4 linked regions of the Xenopus tropicalis genome follow. The protein of the gene in region 4 interacts with the protein of the main gene of each other region in a biochemical or structural test. Links are inferred from orthologs where the notes say so. Each region holds a gene or a part of one and is shown on either strand. Other genes may lie near its edges. The genes, in order: retreg1, nbr1, nek9 and gabarap.

Region 1 (4,380 bases), on a different chromosome or scaffold from region 4:
TCCCCAGAATCTGTTCTTTCCAAAAATGTACAATTTTCTGGGATTAACCTTCTGTTAGTGGAATTTTGGCCTTGAAATCCAAAGTATGCAGTTTTTTTGGAGCAGTGCTTTGGGAATTTGGTAGTGTACTGCTGGGAGTTTTTGACCTATACAAGTGAGAAATCTCCATAAAACTATATATATTTGGTATTGGCACGTTCAGGAGACATGGGACTTTCCAAATCAGTTGTATATTCGTGCATAAAATAATTTTTGTTTCTAGTATGTGTGATTATATTATGGAAAATTTGTTTTTTTTTGCATTTTTAGACATTTAGAAGCCTATATCTTGTTACAGAATTGGAATTACACAAAAATTCTACCATATTTTGAAAGCTTAGGTTGTTCTGAAAAAAACGATATATTGTTTTCCTTGGTAAACTAAAAGTCCCCCCGAGGAAAGGCCCCTAAAGTGAAACAGTGCAAAATGTTCAAAAACTGTCTGGCAATACAAGTTCCGCTTTGACCAAAATGGCTGGCAGTAAAAGGGTTAAGAAGGATAATAATAAACTTGAGAGAGTGAAGAGATGTACACCTAAAGTGGCAAAAGGGAGGATTAAACTATGAGTCACGGGAAAATATTTTTTTTTTTGTGTTGGGGGGGGGGGGGGGGTAAGCAGGTAAAAGTGTTATGTGTATATGTGTGCACTAGGGCTTGTTTGAAAGGGTTGAGCTTGATGGGCTTTTTTTAACAGTGGCATAACTATCTATATACCCCGCGGTCACAGCAGGGCCCAGCCCCCCTGCCCAGCCTCTTTTCTACCTTAAAAATGGCTGCATGGTGTCGGATGAGAGGTGCGGTGCAAGTAAGCCGGGGGGGGGGAATATTTGAGGGAGCCTGGAGCGACCAAGTTACACTACTGCTAACTATGTATACAGTATTACAGAATTCTGTAGTCTACACTGCAGTATAGATAGGAGAAGCCACAAGTTTTGTAACTGTGGTTATATTTCTACCAATACACATGAGATTCTTTATATACAGGAAATGTCAACATGCAATATTTTTGTATCCTTGGTCTGTTGGCAGCTTTTATCATCCCTTGTATGGACATCTTAACATTAGTAAATGGGGCCTACAGTTTTTTTTAATAAAAACAAAAGTTTTGCAAAGCAATCAGCTGAATTTTAGAACTTAATATTCTTTAAGGAAATAGCTTATTGCTATTCTTCATTTGTTTTTGTTTATGAACTAGGATACAGTACTCCTGAAACCAGGAGTTGTTATTATGAAAGTGTTTGAAATGGGTGTTGTCTAATCACTCCACAAGATAATGTGCCAGCAGGCTGGGACTGAAGCACAGCCCATGAGATCCATGGCTCGCTCAGCTCTATTTATAACAGCCAATCATTGCTCTCATGCTGTCTGCTCCATTCAAGACAAGCTGACACACACAGGAAGAACATAAACACAGACTCGGAGCTCACATAGCTTGCTCAGACTGTCTCAGCTCTCCTTACAGTCGCGGCCAAGTTCAAAAGACACATCTGTACTTGGATTACTTTTTTGGCACAAACAATTTTTGGAGAAGGCAGAAATGCCTGAAGGAGAAGATTCAGATCCACATGGAAGGTACTGGAAAGTAAATGTGCCTTGCTAGGAAAGTGTTCTTTTGGGTTGATTTCAGTGATATACACATTTGTAAAATTTGTCATGAATTACTGTTTGCATTTGTTGCTTCTGTTTGTATAACATTGTGTTCATTTGCCCTCTGTTGTTCATTGCTAATTAAACTGTTATAACTGATATAAATAGCATAAATATCTTTCTCTTTTCATAGTTTTTGTCCCAATAACATACTCATTTTCCTAAGAAGTTGTTAGTATATTTGTACAAAGGCCCCCCTGTGGTGGTCATCAGCATTCCCTCACAGGGTGCATTCCAGTCAGTCAGCAGTGGCATGAGAGTCAGTCACATTCAGCTCTGACCGCCAAAGGGCATCTGTTGGACTAACAATAGAATTTAGTTTTTTTTTTGTGTACAGTGATTAATTTTTTGCATTGTCTTAAGGTTAGATGTTATATTAATACTCTCTTCAGTATGCCCAGTATGATGATATCTAGAAAATAAATAGGAATTAAGCCATTAATATTCTTCTATTCAGGCATTCTCCTATTTATATTACAATGTCTCATTCAAAGCACTGCATGGTTGCTAGGGTAAATTGGAGCACAGCAACCAGATAGCTGCTAAATGCCATACTGATAAGCTGTTAAACACAATCTGATTAATTCAAAAACAAAAAAAAATTTAAAAACTGCAAATAGCCTCAGAACAATACTGCCAACAAAATGCAAAAAGTTAATTTAAAGGCAAACTACCCCTTTTAAGTAATATTTCATGACAATGAATATGTTGCTTTTGGTGGCCTGTTGTAAGTTTCCTATTAAAAAGTAACAACCAGGACTTCAGCAAATTCTGCTTTCAATAGCAATTACATTTACACCTAACTTTTAAAGCGCTAATAATTTTTAATAATTGAAATTGGAATTATGTTTTCTTTTATTAGGCAAAACAATTATTTTTGGGGTTGACATGTCCTTTAAGGTTATGGCCTAAAAATGCACCTTGGAAGATAGATGCAACCTTATGTCATGTTTGCTGTGATTCTGGTCTATAATTGAAAGCAATCTTCAACTGTTCCTGGTACTTTGTTCTTAGGAAAAGTCTCTGCAACTAAATGACCCATAAGGCATTAGACTATGTATGGAAATGTCAGGGCCTTATGGTCTTTACAGGGTTGAAGTCAGGATCAGGGAGGAAGCTGAGTTCAGAAAATTATACGCCGTATCCATGGGGTAAAGCAAGTCTCTTAGTCAAATTCAGGCTAAAAATTGTGGCAAGTAAGAACAAAGCTGAAAGAAACGTGTAGATTGAGCCAAAACAGTAATTTAATGCACCAAGGAACTTTACAATGAAAGATATATATTGAGGCATTGAATCCGGGTCTTTGGTGTCCTTTCGGTTTGAATTTTCACGCCAAAGTGGCATGTGATGACATCATGCAGCAACAGTGTGACAATGTGACATTGTGGCCATGGGCACTGCCTTCTTTGGAAGGAGGCAGAGTGCTTCTAACCAGAGAACTCCTGACAGGGCATCCCCTGGCACACTCCTAGTTAGCATGATTTAGAATCTTGCTTCCTTATTATTGCTTATTTGTGCCCCTAGACCAGCTCATATCATCATCATCATTTTTTTTTATAATACAGAAGTCATGAATCTCTCTCCTATTTAATGAATGGTGCTTAGTGGTGTAATTTATCACATGACACACTGAAACTTGTGCATTAGAATATGTAATGTACTCTCTGTTGTAAAATATGAGGAGTCAGTTCGAGAGCTGCTCCTGCCATGAGGCAAGGTAAGAACTTTCACCCAGCTATCAGCACAAGAGCCACAATATAAATTTTTGCACTCTACATGGGCTTGGCACAATTTACATCCTTCTTTTAGCCCTTAATATATTAGCCTGCATGTATTTATGCGCACATTCAGCTTCATGCCTAAATTATATGCTATGTATATGCCTGCTATATAAATAATGGTATATACATAAAGAACAATAAATACTAATATGGGACAGTTCAGGGTTGAATTTTCAAATTCATCTTATCATTTATCATTTAAGGAATTTTTTAACATGTCCAAAAAGGTTCCCAAATGAATCTATTTAATATAAAGTATTGTTTTCTAAAGGCAATATCTAATAGCACCAGTAATTTTTTCTCAGGGGGAACAGCAATTGATTGAAAACCTCAATTTAGGAGATGTGGGGTTATGAAGATTTGAGCAAGTATTGTAGGGTTATGAACACTTGAGCAAGTATTGTGAGTATTAGTGTAATGCAAGTCATTCAGTAGGATGCTGACAGGTTGCCCTGTGCCATGCTCTGGATTTTAAATCCTGCCCAAGATACATCTGGAGCAGATACTCCAGATGCAAGTTCTTTAGTAAGTCTAGTGAGGATCATCATAGCTAAACCAGAATATAACCCAGGGGTGGGCAAACTACGGCCGCGGGCCACATCCGGCCCCTTGGCCTTTTTAATCCGGCCCGCCGCCGACGCCAAGTCTCATCACGCGAGACTGGAATTAAAGAGATGAAGGGGGTGTAACGCTGGCCTGGCCCTGCCCGCCCTGGCCCGGTCCGGCACGGGGGTAAGTAAATGTGGCCCGTGAGCCAAAAAGTTTGCCCACCCCTGATATAACCTATGGTACACATGGCATTTGATGTTATTATTTTTCTGTTACTGAGAATGCCACAGGTTGCTTGAACCCACCTCTTATTGCAGTGAATAGGAAGTTAATGGGAAATTGCTTATAGTCTGTATTTTTATT
Region 2 (3,077 bases), on a different chromosome or scaffold from region 4:
AAATTTTATTATAAGTGATACTAAGGACACAATATGTTGCACAAACTAGTCATACTTTATCTGAAAAAACTAGGGTATATATATATATATAATACGTGTATTGGATATATTCAAAATGCTTGTGACCTGAGGGTTTCCAGATAAGATATCTTTCTGTATATTAGATCACCATGACTTAGGTCTGTTAAAAATTATTTAAACATATAGGGGCAGAGCTCTAATCAAATGAACCCCAGTAGAATTAGTGAAGGGAGCCACAGATGCCTGTTGCTATTTTCACAATGGGGCACTGTAAATGAGCCCTATAATAGGCAGTTTAATTAGGAACAGGGCAACAGCCTTTGAAACCTTTGCATGCTGTTCCACTAAGGCTCCATATAAACGGACTGGCAGCAGCTGTTTGTGTGCACTGTTGCATGAAAGAGAAAGGAAGAAGATCATTTACCCAAAAATAGTCTTTAAATTGTTTAAGACCCATGATAGACATAGTCACACACACACACAGAACCCAGAAGAAACAAGTGAGGCAAAATCTTTAGAGTGAAAGATATTTTATTCATCTGCTGGTGAGTGCACCAAAAGTGGCCCCTGTTTACAGTATTCATCTAGTTATTTATCATTTTCCCCACATCTATTTACAGAAACATTCATTCACAAATAACATTGTTTTTTTCAAAAGCAGATTTTTCCGCTTCATGAAAATCTCTGTGATCTTGCCAGGATTTTCCCACTTACTGCCCTTAAATTAAATCTTTGCAGCTCTTAGTATACTGAGAAAATTCATATTCTGAGCCTTTAAATCAATGTTGCTTCAGGAAATAGAATTACTTCCTAATAAGTTCAGGACTTGATTTACATACTGTGTATTGATACTCCTTATTCCAGTATCAGCCATTCAGTCTGATAACACCAAGCCCGTGTCAGCCAACACCAAAGGGGCACTTCTTGCTCATTGCACATTTATCTATAGAGCTGGAAACTCTTTTTGATGCAAATATTGTTCTTCCAGAGAATCTTAACTAAAGTAATGGAAATATAATGGAAATTATAGGGCCAAATAAAAAGATGTGTCTTGCTAGCAACGCATTATACATCTGCTTTTTTTCTACTTCAAAATGTCTAAGGGCAGAACTAAGCTCTCTTCTCTAGTTCAGTAACGAGCAGAGTACCAATCGTTGTCGTTGATCTGGATCAGTTCGGTCACTACGTCCATGAGGTTGTAGCTGTGCTTGTGTAGCAGGCGTTGGTTGAGTTGGCGGTCACAGAATCCCATCTCGAGGAGGATAGCCATCATGGCTCTGTCTTGTTCTTCTGAATTTCTTGGCTGGAGATGGAGAAGCAAGCAGAGTTGTTGGCATTAAATAGAATATTTAACATAGTATAGGTAATAATAAAAGATTTTGGAAATGCCTCCACCAATTCAATATTTTTGGGAACCCTGACTAACTAGTTGAATCAGAGGAAGGTTAAAAACACCTTCTAAAGCTTCTCCAATTTGCCTCGGAAAGGGAAAAATTCCTTCCTGAATCCACAATGGCAACTGCACCACTCCCTGTATCAACTCTGTACTTGAAGTGCTAATTTCGTTAACTTTGTACTTTATAATTTTATAAAACGGCATCCAACCCTTTCTTAAAGCTATAGCAAAAAGAGAAAGTTGTGCTCACCACTACAATTTAAAACATTAGGCAATGAGGCTGTGACCGCACATACATACAAAATCAAATGTTCCTCTGCCCTCATGCAATACCTGTTTTGTTTAAAGGGGAAGGCATTTCCTTAGTAGCTCATTACACAAAATGTCTTAATGTCTTATATATATTGATAATGGGCAGGTACAGAGCACCACTAGCTTTTCTGAAAGCTATCTAATGTATCTGACTTCAGGAGATCATTTGTTAACTTTTGGCATCTTAAGGCGGGACCTACTTTCTTCAAATACATGGAGCTCATATTCTCCATTCTGTTTTTTTTAACAACATTCACATAGAAAACAAAAGCTCTATGATACTTTGCCCATAACACTAACCATTTAGCCACTAACTAATGCATGCAAGCCTTTCTATGAACACTTGAATGAAGGGTTAAAGTTGACAGAGTTGCTGCACTCACCAGATTTATCTCTGGTTGTCCAGAGAATAAAGCCTTATAAGCAGAAGCAGCAACAGATAGGGCACCTTTCACAAGACCCCCGGCAATGCTGACACTGGTGAGTTGTCTGTTGGAAATCAAAAACATGCATTAAACATAACAGAACTATTTTGTTTCCTTTATTATCTCAAAAAACAGAAATGAGATTGCAAGGAAGCTGGCAAACCAAGAATACAAACTGGTACATGTTGGCATGACATTGGCTCAAGTAAAAAATTCAGTAATCAAAGTAGAAGGCCGATAGACCCACATAATTTTAGCAATGTGAAAGTTTATATACACAATGAATTTAATACAGTTACAAGACTGAAGTGCATCCATGGGAAATCACCAATATTATCTTGGATACATGATCTATGTAATCTTCCATATAACCATGATTAACTGTTGGGTTACCTTGCGTGATCAGTCTGTTGATTGTGTGCTGGGGCACAAGCTGTAGGCTCTAAGGCTGATGTGTTTTCATCTGAAGAATCTTTCAGAAAACCATCAAATAAGTGAAGAGTATTAAACAAGAGTATAAATCAGTGAGTAAACCTATATTAATTTTACATGGGATCAGTTGGAATGAGGCTAGGATTCTCACAAATGCCAGAGAGGCTGCTATAAGATGCAATAGACAGTCACTATTTAGACTGTCACTACTGATTGTTAAGATATATGTTGGACATAAGAACATAAAGAAGAATTCATTCATGATCTGTATTGAACTGCAACTCCTAAATGAGCATGCTCAGAATGATAACCTGGAAACACTAGTCACATTAATTAAGTACGATAATTAATGTAGAAAAAAAAAATCTCCATCAATTTTAACTCTATGGGGCTGATTTACTAACCCACGAATCCGACCCGAATTGGAAAAGTTCCGACTTGAAAACGAACATTTTGCGACTTTTTCGTATGTTTTGCGATTTTTTCGGATT
Region 3 (3,627 bases), on a different chromosome or scaffold from region 4:
GTTCTGTCTAAACTTTTACATGTACTGTAACCAGGGCTGCCATCAGAAATCATGGGGGCCCTTACAACATAATTCAGGTTGAAAACCAAAACACACATTGATGGTCAGGGCCCTGTGATCAGTAATCAGAGCTAGTGTAGTGAGGGGGGGGGGGGGGGGGGGGGGGGTTAAAGGTTTTTATAAAAATGGTTTGAATTTTTTAATGTATATTTGGTGAGATGTGAGAACAGCTCACCACAAAAAACTTCACCCACTTTCTGTTGATGCCTATGGGATTTTTAGAAGTGTATTTATCAAATAGTGAAATCCAACTTTCATCCACTGATAAATACACTTCTAAAAATCCCACAGGAATAAATAGAGTAGGTGAATTTTTCAGTTGTGAGCTCTGATTTCACATTTTGATAAATATGACCCTTAGTTTTGGACTTTAAACCTCCCACATCTCTTATAACTTAAGTGGGGGCCCTGCAGTGCTGCACTGGTGTGTTTTGGGTCTTAGGGGGGGGCCAGCTAATCCATGTAAATGCAGCATGGCCAGGCCCCCCTTATGACCCAAAACCCACCAGGCTTAGGACGATTGCCACGCCTGTCCATCCCTGCTGGTGACTCTGAGTGGAACTATGCTTCGTGGACTGAATTAAGTGATGAAGACATACAAAACAATCTGTCGACCCATGAAAAAAAAACAATAAAACGTCAATTAAACCCAATAGGATTGTTTTGCCTCCAATAAGGAGTAATTATACCTTAGTTGGGATCAATTACAATGTACTGGTTTATTTTTACAGAGTAAAAGGAAATACATTTTAAAAATCTGAATTATTTGATTAAAATGCAGTCTATGGGAGACAGGCTGGTCATAATTCGGAGCTTTCTGGATAACTGGCTTCCATATAACTGATCCCATACCTGTAGTAGTTCTTAATAAATACTTGATGGTACAAATGTGGGATGACTTCCATATCTAGAGGGGTACATATTCCACACTTGTATTGTGTATTGTGTATGGTAAATGTGTTAAAAGGTATGTATTTTGATTTTTAGCTGTTTAATATTATAGGACCCAGAGAAGCGCCCAACAGCAGATGAGATTCTGAAAATGCCAATATTGAGCTGGAGGAGAAGGTACTTATAGATCAAGTGTGTTTTGTTTTTAATCAATAGTCTCAATATCTTTTATTTACCATGCATTTTATTTTACCATGCGTTCCCAGTATGTGTAATCTAAATTATAATTCACCTTAATATAACATTCTTTCATTCTTTAAGGTTAGCAAATAGCATTTTCAGCATCTTCAGTTATGAAACTGAGGCTGGGAATCTGCAGTATAGCATTATTTCCAAGCTCTCAGCATCCAGAACAGTAAATACATGTATTGTGTTTGTTTTAAGGGTTCACTAAACTTAAAATATTCTTTTTAAATAGAGACATGGAGGAAAAAGTATCTATGCTGAATCGATCCAATAAGAAGCCCAGGTAATAATCAAAACATGCTTATAGTGAGTGAGAATGTATTGGTGCTTGATGAAGGGATGGTATAAAGCCTGGAACCTGGGTTGTGGCATGAATAAATTACTCTTTCTTCAGTAATTTGGAGTATTATTTCTGTGATTGTCCACCCTTTACAGAGGGGTTTACGGGTTGCACATGATGCATGAAAAAGTGACATTATGGGGCAGATTTATCAAAATGTGAGTTTAGAGCTTAATACATAAAAACTCATCCATGTTCTATTCATTCCTATGGGATATTTAGAAGTGTATCAATGAGTGAAAGTTCGAGTTCGCCATTTGATAAACATGCTTCTAAAAATCCCATAGGAATGAATAGAATATGGGGGAGTTTTTATGTATTAAGCTTTGAACTCACATTTTGATAAATCTGCCCCTATTTATACAGTAGTACTGTGCCATTTTGATGGCTACCTCTATTGACAAGCGTATGGTTACTATTTTATATTGATAATTCTGTTGGTCAATGATTAATGCCTTTTGTGAGTAGGAAAGTTGAACCAGCAAACTCAGTGTAAACAATACAAAATACTCTATTAATTGACTTTCACCTCAATATTAAAAAATAGTTTTAGGACAGGCAATAGTAAGGTTGTATCATATACATTGCACATTTTGGTGAACTGTTTTACTTACGTGTTTGTATATCTGTTAAACGTTTTGCTTTATTTTGTGTGCCATCCAATCATCCAGTTTTATTTTTATCACTGCCTGATATGTAACATTTCTGGGAATGTACCCATTCACTGCATTTTGTAGTCACATGACTGCCCTGTTTCTTATCTCCTTGGCACCATTTTCACTTTTGGCATCCTATTCTTTCTTTCTTTGAATGTTTTCTCTTCACCTTTTTGTTTTGATTGTTGTGGTGTGTATTGTAAGTTCTTAACACTCCCTTCCTGTAATCATTTAAATCTCTAAACTGTTTTTAAGACACCTTCACCCCACTCTGTGACCATTCCATTTTTTTTTTATTTTGTGTTTTGTCACCTTTTGGGTCTTTCTTCCATTCATAATGCTTCCCAGGACGGGTACAGTTACAGAAGCCCCTATCGCTGTCGTTACATCAAGGAGCAGTGAGGTGTATGTATGGGGAGGTGGAAAGACCACTCCTCAGAAGCTGGATGTTTTCAAGGGTGGATGCCGAGCACGGCAGGTCTGTGCTGGAGATGCTCATTTTGCTGTAGTGACCGTGGAAAAAGAGCTTTACACTTGGGTGGTGAGTGCTAAATGAAGGAAGAAATTCTTGGTACTGGGAACTTCATGGGAGGTACAGGTGGTGTACGGTGGTGGGTCTTTGTTAGGATTGCAAAGGAAGGGGACTTCCAGGGACTTCACTGAAGAGGAAGGTACCTGATATGGGTTTTGTATGCTGTCATTTCAGCTACATTAATTCTAATATACGATATACACATTTAAACACATTTTTTTTAAATTTTTTTAAAATTCAGAACATGCAGGGAGGATCAAAACTACATGGACAGTTGGGACACGGAGACCGTGCCTCCTACCGTCAACCAAAACATGTGGAAAAACTTCAAGGAAAGTCAGTACAGCAAGTCAGTTGTGGAAGTGATTTCACCGTATGCATTTCAGGTCAGAGTGAAAAGCTAAATAAGTACAAAAGATTAAAATGTATATACTTTTAGATATAGTTATCCAATACCTGGAAAAAATTATGCCTCTGCACTGACATTATAGTGCAGGTCTGGAATCATTAATATTAATATATGATAATTAAATGTAATTTTTTTGGGGGGGGTGGAGTTGGTTTTAGGCTAAAAGCAAATTGTCTTTTTCAGCTATACATAGCAAAGGTTAGGCTGAAAATTGCAAAAGCATTAGGGATGCACCAAATGCAGGATTCTGTTTGGGATTCGGCCAAGATCTGGCCTTTTTCAGCAGGATTCAGATTTGGGCAAATCCACACTCCTGGCCGAATCCTTAAAATTATGGGACTTTTTGTCACATAAACACGCAAGTTGAAAATTTTTCACGTGGTTCTCTTTGGCCTTTCCTTATCTTAATTTGAATATGCATATGATTCGGTATTCGCACAAATCTTTCACAAAGGATTTGGGGTTTGCCCGAATCTGAAAATAGTGGCTTTGG
Region 4 (4,195 bases):
TGTTATCCCCCAGTCTCTCTTCTCCCCATGGTTATACCCCCAGTCTCTCTCTCTCCCCATGTTATACCCCAGTCCTCCTCTCCCCATGTTATACCCCCCAGTCTCTCCCCTTGTTATACCCCAGTCTCTCCCCATGTTATTTACCCCCAGTCTCTCTCTCCCGAGTTATACCCCCAGTCTCTCTCTCTCCCATGTTATACCCCCAGGTCTCTCTCTCTCCCATGTTTAAAACCCCCAGTCTCTCTCCTTCCCATGTATACCCCCAGTCTCTCTCTCTCCCCATGTTATACCCCCAGTCTCTCTCTCTCCCCATGTTATACCCCCAGTCTCTCTCTCTCCCCATGTTATACCCCCAGTCTCTCTCTCCCCATGTTATACCCCCAGTCTCTCTCTCTCCCATGTTATACCCCCAGTCCTCTCTCTCCCCATGTTATACCCCCAGTCACTCCCCATGTTATACCCAGTCACTCCCCATGTTATACCCCCCATCTCTCTCCCCATGTTATACCCCCAGTCACTCCCATGTTATACCCCCAGTCTCTCTCTCTCCCCATGTTATACCCCAGTCTCTCCCCATGTTATACCCCCAGTCTCTCTCTCTCCCCATGTTATACCCCCAGTCTCTCTCTCCCCCATGTTAAACCCCCAGTCTCTCTCTCCCCATGTTATACCCCCAGTCTCTCTCTCTCCCCATGTATAACCCCAGTCTCTCTCTCTCCCATGTTATACCCCCAGTCTCTCTCTCTCCCCATGTTATACCCCCAGTCTCTCTCCTCTCCCCATGTTATACCCCCAGTCTCTCTCTCTCCCCATGTTATACCCCAGTCACTCCCCATGTTATACCCCCAGTCTCTCCCCATGTTATACCCCCAGTCTCTCTCTCTCCCCATGTTATACCCCCAGTCACTCCCCATGTTATACCCCCAGTCACTCCCCATGTTTATACCCCCAGTCTCTCTCTCTCCCCATGTTATACCCCCAGTCTCTCTCTCTCCCCATGTTATACCCCAGTCTCTCTCTCTCCCCATGTTATACCCCCAGTCTCTCTCTCTCCCCATGTTATACCCCCAGTCTCTCTCTCTCCCCATGTTATACCCCCAGTCTCTCTCTCTCCCCATGTTATACCCCCAGTCTCTCTCTCTCCCCATGTTATACCCCCAGTCTCTCTCTCTCCCCATGTTATACCCCCAGTCTACCCCAGTCTCTCTCTTCCCCATGTTATACCCCCAGTCTCTCTCTCTCCCCATGTTATACCCCAGTCTCTCTCTTCCCCCATGTTATACCCCCAGTCTCTCTCTTCCCATGTTATACCCCCAGTCTCTCTCTCTCCCCATGTTATACCCCCAGTCACTCCCCATGTTATACCCCAGTCTCTCCCCATGTTATACCCCCAGTCTCTCTCTCTCCCCATGTTATACCCCCAGTCTCTCTCTCTCCCCATGTATAACCCCCAGTCACTCCCCATGTTATACCCCCAGTCACTCCCCATGTAACCCCAGTCACTCCCCATGTTATACCCCAGTCTCTCTCTCTCCCCATGTTATACCCCCAGTCTCTCTCTCTCCCCATGTTATACCCCCAGTCTCTCTCTCTCCCCATGTTATACCCCCAAGTCTCTCTCTCCCCATGTTATACCCCCAGTCTCTCTCTCTCCCCATGTTATACCCCAGTCTCTCTCTCTCCCCATGTTATACCCCCAGTCTTCTCTCTCCCCACGTATATACCCCCAGTCTCTCTCTCTCCCCATGTTATACCCCCAGTCTCTCTCTCTCCCCATGTTATACCCCCAGTCTCTCTCTCCCCATGTATACCCCCAGTCTCTCTCTCTCCCCACGTTATACCCCAGTCTCTCTCTCTCCCCACGTTATACCCCAGTCTCTCTCTCTCTCCCCATGTTATACCCAGTCTCTCTCTCTCCCCATGTTATACCCCCAGTCTCTCTCTCTCCCCACGTTATACCCCAGTCTCTCTCTCTCTCCCATGTTATACCCCAGTCTCTCCCCATGTTACCCCCAGTCTCTCTCTCTCCCCATGTTATACCCCCAGTCTCTCTCTCCCCATGTTATACCCCCAGTCTCTCCCCATGTTATACCCCCAGTCTCTCTCTCTCATGTTATACCCCCAGTCTCTCTCTCCCCATGTTATAACCCGCCCAGTCTCTCTCTCCCCATGTTATACCCCCAGTCTCTCCCCATGTTTACCCCCCAGTCTCTCCCCACGTTATACCCCCAGTCTCTCTCTCTCCCCATGTTATACCCCCAGTCTCTCTCTCCCCATGTTATTACCCCCAGTCTCTCTCTCCCCATGTTATTACCCCCAGTCTCTCTCTCCCCAATGTTATACCCCCAGTCTCTCTCTCCCCATGTTATACCCCCAGTCTCTCCCCATGTTATACCCCAGTCTCTCTCTCTCTCCCCATGTTATACCCCAGTCTCTCTCTCCCCCCATGTTATACCCCCAGTCTCTCCCATGTTATACCCCCAGTCTCTCTCTCTCCCCATGTTATACCCCCAGTCTCTCTCTCTCCCCATGTTATACCCCCAGTCTCTCTCTCTCCCCATGTTATACCCCCAGTCTCTCCCCATGTTCCTGCCCCAGAGGAAGGTTCCTGCCCCAGAGGAAGGTTCCTGCCCCAGTAGTTGCCCCGGGGGCAGTATGTCACACACCGGGACTCGGTCGGGGTATTTCTTGCGGATTTTCTCCCCCTCGGAGCGGCGCTTCTCGAAGGGATGTTCCTCTTTATACACGAACTTCATGGCGGACTCTCCGGGCGGTACCGGTTCGAGACTGCGATTGGAGTTTCGGTTCCTGTTGTTTTCAGGACTGACACTGACAGGAAATAAACAGGCCGAGCCCCGCCCCCCACTTCCGCATCGTGGCTCCGCCTTCCCAACGTCAGCCGCTGCGTCATATCGGGCCCGGAGCTCTGTAACCATAGCAACCGCCCCTCCCGCCCCTTCACTCACTTGTGCGATTGGAACGGAAACCTTTCAGTCTGTTTCATTCTGTTTGTGTGAGAGAGAAGTGAGTGTGAGAGTGAGTGTGAGAGTGTGAGTGAGAGAGCGTGAGTGGGAGTGTGTGTGTGTGAGTGTGAGAGTGAGTGTGAGAGTGAGTGTGAGAGTGAGAGTGAGTGTGAGAGTGAGTGTGAGAGAGAGAGTGAGTGTGAGAGTGAGTGTGAGAGTGAGTGTGAGAGTGAGTGTGAGTGTGAGTGTGAGAGTGAGAGTGAGTGTGAGAGTGAGTGTGAGAGAGAGAGTGAGTGTGAGTGTGAGAGTGAGTGTGAGAGTGAGAGTGAGAGTGAGAGTGAGAGTGAGTGTGAGAGAGAGAGTGAGTGTGAGAGTGAGTGTGAGAGTGAGTGTGAGAGTGAGAGTGAGTGTGAGAGTGAGAGAGAGAGTGAGTGTGAGAGTGAGTGTGAGTGTGAGAGTGAGAGTGAGTGTGAGTGTGAGAGTGAGAGTGAGTGTGAGAGTGAGTGTGAGTGTGAGAGTGAGTGTGAGAGAGAGAGTGAGTGTGAGAGTGAGTGTGAGTGTGAGTGTGAGAGTGAGTGTGAGTGTGAGAGAGAGAGTGAGTGTGAGAGTGAGTGTGAGTGAGAGAGCGTGAGTGTGAGTGAGAGAGTGTGTGAGAGAGAGAGAGAGAGAGAGTGAGTGTTAGTGAGAGTGTGAGAGTGAGTGTGAGTGTGAGTGAGAGAGCGTGAGTGTGAGTGAGAGAGTGTGAGAGTGAGTGTGTGTGTGAGTGTGAGAGTGAGTGTGAGAGAGAGAGTGAGTGTGAGAGTGAGTGTGAGAGTGTGAGTGTGAGTGAGAGAGCGTGAGTGTGAGAGTGTGAGTGTGAGTGAGAGAGCGTGAGTGAGAGAGTGTGAGTGAGAGAGTGAGTGTGAGAGAGAGTGAGTGTGAGTGAGAGTGTGAGTGTGAGAGTGAGTGTGAGTGAGAGAGTGAGGGTGAGAGTGAGTGTGTGAGAGTGAGTGTGTGTGTGAGAGTGAGTGTGTGTGTGTGAGAGTGAGGGTGAGAGTGAGTGTGTGTGTGAGAGTGAGGGTGAGAGTGAGTGTGTGTGTTTGTGAGAGTGAGTGTGTATGTGAGAGTGAGGGTGAGAGTGAGTGTGTGTGTATGTGAGAGTGAGTGTGAGTGTGTGTGTGTATGTGAGAGTGAGTGTGAGAGTGAGTGTGTGTGTGAGAGTGAGGGTGAGAGTGAGTGTGTGTGTGAGAGTG

The links.
Region 1: the proteins of gabarap (region 4) and retreg1 are reported together in a solved structure, tested with the Homo sapiens proteins (2 studies listed by BioGRID, with this or other methods). The link is inferred for Xenopus tropicalis from reciprocal best matches to the Homo sapiens genes GABARAP and RETREG1.
Region 2: the proteins of gabarap (region 4) and nbr1 form a complex in vitro, tested with the Homo sapiens proteins (3 studies listed by BioGRID and IntAct). The link is inferred for Xenopus tropicalis from reciprocal best matches to the Homo sapiens genes GABARAP and NBR1.
Region 3: the proteins of gabarap (region 4) and nek9 form a complex in vitro, tested with the Homo sapiens proteins (2 studies listed by BioGRID and IntAct, with this or other methods). The link is inferred for Xenopus tropicalis from reciprocal best matches to the Homo sapiens genes GABARAP and NEK9.

Annotation. Positions count from the first base shown.
Region 1 is NC_030682.2:79,279,346-79,283,725, forward strand, and holds the start of retreg1 (reticulophagy receptor FAM134B), read left to right. Parts: upstream 1-1,460; 5' UTR 1,461-1,577; coding exon 1,578-1,612; intron 1,613-3,608; exon of another isoform or gene 3,609-4,380. UniProt on the Homo sapiens protein: Endoplasmic reticulum (ER)-anchored autophagy regulator which mediates ER delivery into lysosomes through sequestration into autophagosomes.
Region 2 is NC_030686.2:19,645,728-19,648,804, reverse strand, and holds the end of nbr1 (next to BRCA1 gene 1 protein), read right to left. Parts: intron 2,627-3,077; coding exon 2,548-2,626; intron 2,219-2,547; coding exon 2,113-2,218; intron 1,325-2,112; coding exon 1,151-1,324; 3' UTR 535-1,150; downstream 1-534. UniProt on the Homo sapiens protein: Ubiquitin-binding autophagy adapter that participates in different processes including host defense or intracellular homeostasis.
Region 3 is NC_030684.2:82,279,452-82,283,078, reverse strand, and holds part of nek9 (serine/threonine-protein kinase Nek9), read left to right. Parts: intron 1-1,063; coding exon 1,064-1,128; intron 1,129-1,429; coding exon 1,430-1,480; intron 1,481-2,541; coding exon 2,542-2,734; intron 2,735-2,966; coding exon 2,967-3,111; intron 3,112-3,627.
Region 4 is NC_030679.2:153,336,080-153,340,274, forward strand, and holds the start of gabarap (GABA(A) receptor-associated protein like 1), read right to left. Parts: upstream 2,857-4,195; 5' UTR 2,757-2,856; coding exon 2,667-2,756; intron 1-2,666. UniProt on the Homo sapiens protein: Ubiquitin-like modifier that plays a role in intracellular transport of GABA(A) receptors and its interaction with the cytoskeleton.